Linked DNA regions of Elephas maximus indicus. The protein of the gene in region 1 purifies or fractionates together with the protein of each later gene. This does not show direct contact. Links are inferred from orthologs where the notes say so. Each region holds a gene or a part of one and is shown on either strand. Other genes may lie near its edges.

Region 1 (3,600 bases):
GCATATAATTAATGTCGCCAAATTACACGTGTCAGAAGAGTTGGGAGAGCAAATATTTTATTACATATATATTTCATACAATAAATTACCAGAAAAATGAAACTAAATCTAACATATTTACCAGAAGTATCAATCAGCAATAGATTGAAAATCCTAAAAAAAAAAATGTGTCCTTCACCACGAAAGACAGTTTGAGCAGCACTGGTACAGAAACATCTAACCAAAGAACAGATTATCAAAGGCTCTAATCTTCCCTTTTTAGAGAATGACCTGCTTCTCACAATCCCCAAATACCGTTCTGTAGTGAGCAGAGGGCCACAGAACACCCTGTGGGCTGATGGGAAGGCCCTTCCTCATGAGAGCAGGGGAACTGGGGCCAGGCCTCAAACAAAAGGAGCAGACCATGCAGTGCTCAGAAACAGATAATTCAAATCATCTGGGGGGGGGTCTCACCAACCACTCATTAAATAGGAACAAGCACACAACTCCCATCAGCAAAGGGTGCCACAGGCTTGCACCCATTCAATTAGTTTAATTGGCTAGTTACATTTCCAAAGTACTGTTCACTGAGGGTAGCGAAGTTCACTGAGGGTGGCAAATAGTACTAAAGACTTAACCGTCTACTCTTTCCTTGCTGCTAACCTCTGCTCTGCAACTCCTGCCACCCCTCCCCTACAGGGAGAAGAATCCACTGCCCAACCACCTGATGCCACAAGTTTTCTCTAGGACTTCTGGTTGTGTGCCAGCATTTCTCAAGTGCACTTGATGGACCTCAGGAGGTGGGTGCTGTTATCTCAATTTTACAAATGAAAAACCTGAGAGCCAGAAACTTATGCTTTCATGGTTACCCTGCAAAGGCACAGCTGAAATCCCGAGCCTATGGCTTTGAGTACTCTAGTACACCGTGAAGACCCTATTTGAACATCACCTTATCAATAATTAAAAACGATAAATATGATAGCATGGTCTTTCACTGATGGGTGCCAAAATCTGTCACATAAATCTTGATGTTTAAATCCGCATCAATCTCATGAGAACATACTACCTTAGTAAAGATGAAGAGATCAAGCCATTAAAAGGATATACCACTTGCTGAAAGTCACACAGTTGATGTCAAGTTCTACCTGACTCTAGGACGTGAATCCTAATCTGCTACTTGCTAAATTCTCAGAATAATCCTCTTTAGAAGCCAGCAAATAAATTTTCGACTCACAGCTACCCTGTGTGACAGAGAGCTGCCCCATAGGGTTTCCTAGACTGTAATCTCTAGGAAGGCAGATTGCCAGGTCTTTCTCTCACAGAACTGCTGCGAGGATTGGAACCATCAACCTTTCAGATAGCAGCTGAGCACTTAACCGTTACACCACCAGGGTTCCTTTAGAAAAACCCTACAACAGATACATTATCAATCCCATTTAAAACAGAGAAACTAAGAGTCAAAGAATAAATCACCTGCCTAAATCATGCAACAAGAAAACAGCCCAAGATTGGACTCCAAAACCCAACCCGCTCTTCGTCCACTCAGTGCACTCACCTCAAATTCTCGGATGTAGGGCGCAATGCCACAGTAAGGTTGATTATGGTGTTTTTCATGTGGCAGTTTCTCCAGGGGTGGCAGGTATGGGATGGGGTCCCGGGGGGCAAACAGGGCCAGAAGGTTGGGCGGAAGGAACTGGGTCATCTTGCCAAGTCTGAAGGCAAAACCAGAACCAATTAGGGTAGGCTGGCTAGGATGAATCCCCTAAAACCCCCTGACTCTCAAGAAAGAGAGAAACAGGAGCGAGCTCTCAATGTTAAAACAGGCTCTGTAAGGGCAGAGTGACCCTATGTCACACGCAAAAGGGATAAACCTAAAAGAGAAAGCAAAGTCTTGAAGGTTTAGGGGGAAGAAAGGCCTACGAGGAAAACAAAGACTATAAAGCGTTTCTGAGTACAGAAGACTGAGTCGTGAGCAAAGAACTGTGGGGCTGAAAGGGTCCCTGGGGGGTTGGGGAGACAATCAAGGATCCTGAGTCCCAGAGCCGTGCTCCTGGAGGTCCCACGTAAGATGGGGAACGCTTTATGGGGCGAGGGTCGAAGTCACCGATGAAGGGGTCAGAGGATCTTAAATAGCTAACCCCTCAAGACAAAGGCTTGGGGGTAATAGGTCTAAGCCCCCCAACCCAAAAGGGGAAAGGAATTGTGGGTAATGGTCCGAGACGCCGCGAAGAGACAAGAAAAAAGGCAATACACCGCAAGGGCCTGTGGGTACTGGACCGCGGGGGGCTGTGGGACGAGGGCCTGAGTGCTCAAGGCACCCTGGGTAAGGGTCGCAGATAAGAATATTGCTGTGGTGGGTGCGCGGGGAGAGGGCCCGGCCGCGAGGAGAGGGGCCGGGGCCCAACGCAGGGGCTTGTGGGTAGCGATCCCGTTCCCGGTGAGGCCAGTCACACTCACCAGCCGCGCGGCGCCCTCCTCGGCCTGGCGTTGGTCCGGGGGCTCGCGGCGGCCCCTCAGCAACAGAGACTCCTGCTGTAGCTTAGACTTCGGCGGCGTCGGCGTCCGTGTGCTTCTCTGGCGGGCCCAGCGCGCGCACCAGGCCGCTGCTCACAAACCCGCGCGGCCTCAGCTCGCGACGGGAATAGGGGGTGGGACCCGCGCAGATCCCTCCGCCGGCCTCACTGCGCACGCGCCTTACGACGGGCGAACAACGCACACATGGCACGGGTTCCGCCGCGGGCAAGGCGCCTGCGCGGGGTGACTGCCCCGCCTTCGAGCGCCTTAAATTCCTTTTGCCGCTACCGCCTGGTATCCGCACTGCGCACGCGCTTTGCACCTGCCACCACCCCCTCGGGCTCGCCACTCCAACCGCCTCTGTCCGCGAGATTCTGCCCCTGATACTTCGCCCCCTCCCCCTAGCACACTTCCCGGGTTTGCGCGCGTGCGTAGTGAGATGTGCTGCCTGTACCCCTGCGCCGACTGGCAAAGAGTCCCTTCGTTGATAGTGGTTAGGTGGATGGGTAATGTCGAGTACTTAGTGCGTGCTGGAAACAATAGCATGTGACTAAAGCAGTCTTTTCCCTCGTGGATCTTACGTTCTACTGGGGAAGACAATAAAGTGATTTAAATTAATTATAATTTCAGGTAGTGGTTGGCACAATGAAGAAAATGGAGCAGAGTAAGGGGATGGGAAGAGTAAGAACGAGACTGTTTTCAAAAAGATGATAATGGAAGCCCTCTAGGAAGAGATATTTGAACAAAGGCCCCGATTGAACAGTGGTCTGGGCGGGGTTAACAGTCAGTGCGAAGGCCCTGGGGAAACCCTGGGTAGGGCAACCAGTTAACACACTCAGCTGCTAACCTAAAGGTTGGCTGTTCAAATTCACCCAGAGAAGCCTCAGAGAAAAGCCTTGTTGATCTGTTTCTAAAAGATATGCCGTTGAAAACCCCATGGAGCACCGTCGTACTCTGACACACATGCGGTCTCCATGAGTGAGAATCTACTCTAAGGCATCTGGTGTTCTGGTGGAAAAGGCCCTGAGTTGAGACCAGATGTCAGGAACCACATGTTAGGCAGGAAGTCATGTTATTTTAGGGCCTTTTAGACTTGTAATGAGTTAA
Region 2 (3,822 bases), on another chromosome or scaffold:
CTATCCCCATGGCTCCAAAGCCTATCTTTTCCCTTGTTCTCCCCCTGCCCCAATTATTCCAAGGCATTAGAATATGTTAAGGGCACAAAAAAATTCACCTTACAGGTGGCTACTAGCCCTTCCCCCACCAAGGTATGAATGCTAATGACCATGTGCTTCTCCCACCCTAACTGTATTGTGTTCTATTTCCCATAATTTCATCCCTGGATTTCTTCTCTTGCTGTTCATGTGTAGCTTGCTACACGCTTCTAATTGTTCTTTGCATAGTAAGTTTCCTCTTCTACACATCGCCACTTTCTAGCGACAAGCAGAATCCGCTGGAGGGCTTTGTTGTTTCCACATGGAAAAGTTACCTCAGAGATGTGTTAGGTAATTTTTCAAATGTTTTTCTCTTGATAGTTATTTGAGAGCTGCATTTTTACACTTGAGCTTCTTGTTCCAGACCAAAAAGCTGGATTCTGCAATCAACGTTAACTGAGAAACAATTACGTGTACTTGTTTAAATACACATTACTGCCAGTTCTCCGAAGTACAACAAACATGAATGAGGAGCGCGTTTTAAAATCATACAACGTCAGCAAAAATATCGCTGGGTAATGATTCTTCTATATTATTTGTGTTCCAGTCCTCCACTTCTTAATACTTTTCCTTTTAGAAACAAGTTGTGCTGGAAATTCTACATAACACAAATCACACTGCAGAAAAATTTAAACCCCCCCAAAATTCAATACACATGAATTCCTTCCAGGAAAACCCTAAATTCAGTTAACTTCCCGGCCTCAAGAGGAGTTTCTAAAAATGCACTGAAGAAACCAACAAGGCTGGCTGGTTCAACTGGGAGAGCTAGCACATCTGCCTAACTCTTCTTTTCAGTCTGGCTTTTGGGAGATGAATATCCAGAGCATCACGGTACCATGTCCTTAAAGTTTAGAGCCAAACCAAACCCTGCGTTTGAAAACCAAAAGTCGGTTTATTTGGGGATCATCCAGATACTTGAAAGTTGACTCTTTTTTAGAAATACATTTCTTTTTTACACCCAAACAAGAGAACCTTACTGCCACTCTAATTCTAGTTCTATGCATGAAAAACCAGGTGCCGTCGAGAGCAACGCAAAAATTAAAAGCAAATACTGAAGTGTCTTTTAAACAAGCATACTGAACAGGGCGGACACGAACACGCAGGGCTGCACATAAACCTGCTACAGAGAAGTACGAGGCAAAATAAAAAAAAGAAGGGCTGTGCTTTGATTGGCATGGTGCTTACGCGGGAGACACTAAGTGTCAAAACTCACTTCAGCTTCGTACACCCTGTTTTTAAATCTCAAAAAAAGAAAAAAAAAACAGGGGGGGCCACGGGTAAGCCAGAGCAGAGTAACCTCCCACACTTTTTAACAACACGAATACACCAAAGTAAAAAGTTGTTTTCTGTGTGTGTGTGTGCCAACTGTTGGGCCACAGAAAAGCGTTGTCTTCCAGCATATTAAGTCCTGCCCCAAATTTAAACTTTCAGGTGAGGATGCTGCTGGTCGCCCGGAGCTCCCGCCGGCTAGCTGAGCGGTACCTCCTTTCTGCTATCCCCCCGCGGGGTCTGCACGGCGCTCGGCGCCCACACCTCGAGGCTGGCCCGTCCCCGGCCTTTCCCCGCCGACGGGGCTCCCCGACCTCACGCTGAACCCCACCCCCCGCCACTTCCTGCTCTCGCCGCCTCGCGCGCCAAAACCGCCCTCTCCCCGGGCGCCCGGTCCTGCTCGCGCCCCGCCGCGTGGGCCCCCCGCGACCCCCAGGGCCCCCCGGCCTCCCCGGAGCCCCCCGGCCTCCCCGCCGCCGGCACGCGCTCACATTTTTCGCTGTCGCTCGAACTCGGCTTTCTTCTCCTCCTCCTCGCGTTTCTGCTTCTCGTCCAGGCTGCTCCGCTTGCTGACCGTGCGCCCGAAGATGTCGATGCGGTCGGGCGGGGACGAGGCGCGCTCCCGGTCCCGCTCGCGCCGAGACACGGCCGTGTTGGTGGAGCGCGAGCGGGACCGCGACTCCCGCCGCCGGTTCCGCTTACTCTCCCGGGACTTGGAACGCTTCCGGACTCGCTCCTTGTCCCGGGACCGCGACCGCGACCGGCTGCGCTTCTTGTTGTGTTTGCTGCTCTTGGTGTGTTTGGAGCGGGACGAACTCCGGCTCCGAGACCGGCCCATCCTTCCAGGCGACGCTGGCTCCGGCCTCCAAACGCTCCCGGCTTCGCTCGCCTCAGCCTTCGAGCGTGCGCTGACCGTTCTGTCGGGCCCCGAGGAAGAAGAGCCACCGGTCAGATGCCTTTTTACCGTCGTCTTCGGTCGACGGACGCCACGAAGGCCGCCTCAAGCGAGAAGGCCGCAGCGAGAGACTTCCCTAAAATGGCAGCTGTGGCCGCACCGGCTACCTTTCCCACAATGCCCAGCGTGAACGTGCCGTCGCGCGGGCCCCGCCCCCTGACGATTGTTGCCGAAGACGCAGCGAGGATTTCCGAGCCCCTTCGGCTCTTTCCGCGTGTCCTGGCGGAAGCCTAAGAGGCCACGCTCAGAAACTCACATCTTTGCTTTAGCGTATTTATGTTTTTTGGTAAAATTCTTGTAGAATGAATTAATCATGTTTTGGCGCGAGTTAAATCATTCCTTGGTGTGAATTAAATTTCGCCTGGTGGCACAGTGGTTAAGAACTTGGCTGCTAACTAAAAGGTCGTCAGTTCGAATCCACCAGCTGCTCTTTCGAAAACCTATGGGGCGGTTCTACTCTGTCCTATAGGGTCTCTGTGAGTCAGAATGACTCAAAGGCAATGGGTTTGGTATGAACTGATTAATTGCGTTATTTTCTAGGAGATGGCTTTGTCATACAGCCCTGAATTGTATCAGAGTGACCCTGGGCAGATGACTTGCTTCCCTGAGCTTAGTCTCCTTGTTCGTGGACTGTAGATAACCACATTTCCTAAAGTGGTTGTGAGACTGAGGGCGGTATGTATTCAGCGGGTTTTCATAAACGAATGCTGATGCTTAATGGAGGGTTTAATGTGCCTGCCAGGGCACTGTACTAAATGTTTTGCGTTTATCAACTAGTGTTTAATTCGTACAACGGTCCCCGAGGCTAGTAAGTGGGGATGTGTACTGAGGTAAACGCATAACCAGTAAGCCAACCACCCCCACCCCAAGCCCTAAAAAAAAAAAGAAGCCCTAGCCAAGGTTAAGCAAGTTTCTGGATTTTACAATAAATGTGTCACTGTTGAGTCCCAATTAGAAAAGGCAAAATTATTATTTACGGATGATAGGACACCTTGAAAATCCATGTGCCTGAATTTTAAAACTGAGTTCTAGATAGCTAGACAAATTAAAAAATGAGCAATTTTCCTTTGAATATGCAATTACCTATTAAAAATGAAATAAAAAGATTTTCTCCACCAAAGAAATAAAACCTGTAAAATATGTAGTAATAATTTTTAAAAGTTACAAAATCTTAATGGTGAAATCCTTAAACCTTTGTTGGAAGGCAGAAACCAGACCTGAATAAATGGAAAACATATACCATATTTTTGAATAGGAAGTCAATATCAAAATACATGCCAGTTCTTCTGAAGTCAAATTACAAAATTAATGCAATTCCCATCAGAATTCCAAATTCACCTGGGGCTGTGTAGGTTAGAACTAGATACTTTTAAAATCTTATATGGAAGTCACATAGCTGGGAATTACCGAGAAAACCTTGAAAGAGAACAATAGTGTTTGCCCTATCAAAAATTAAAATGAAACAAACACCAAGATATTAGGAAAATAATCAGATACATTCAAATAGAATAGTATTTTAG

What was found. Proteins that work in one complex are often made in the same cells at the same time.
Region 2: the proteins of SNRNP70 (region 1) and ARGLU1 purify together in Homo sapiens (affinity purification with mass spectrometry; 3 studies listed by BioGRID and IntAct, with this or other methods). This does not show direct contact. The link is inferred for Elephas maximus indicus from reciprocal best matches to the Homo sapiens genes SNRNP70 and ARGLU1.

The regions. Positions count from the first base shown.
Region 1 is NC_064829.1:99,444,323-99,447,922, reverse strand, and holds the start of SNRNP70 (U1 small nuclear ribonucleoprotein 70 kDa), read right to left. Parts: upstream 2,650-3,600; 5' UTR 2,437-2,649; intron 1,692-2,436; 5' UTR 1,682-1,691; coding exon 1,535-1,681; intron 1-1,534. UniProt on the Homo sapiens protein: Component of the spliceosomal U1 snRNP, which is essential for recognition of the pre-mRNA 5' splice-site and the subsequent assembly of the spliceosome. SNRNP70 binds to the loop I region of U1-snRNA.
Region 2 is NC_064841.1:72,269,498-72,273,319, forward strand, and holds the start of ARGLU1 (arginine and glutamate-rich protein 1), read right to left. Parts: upstream 2,413-3,822; 5' UTR 2,186-2,412; coding exon 1,839-2,185; intron 1-1,838. UniProt on the Homo sapiens protein: Dual function regulator of gene expression; regulator of transcription and modulator of alternative splicing. General coactivator of nuclear receptor-induced gene expression, including genes activated by the glucocorticoid receptor NR3C1.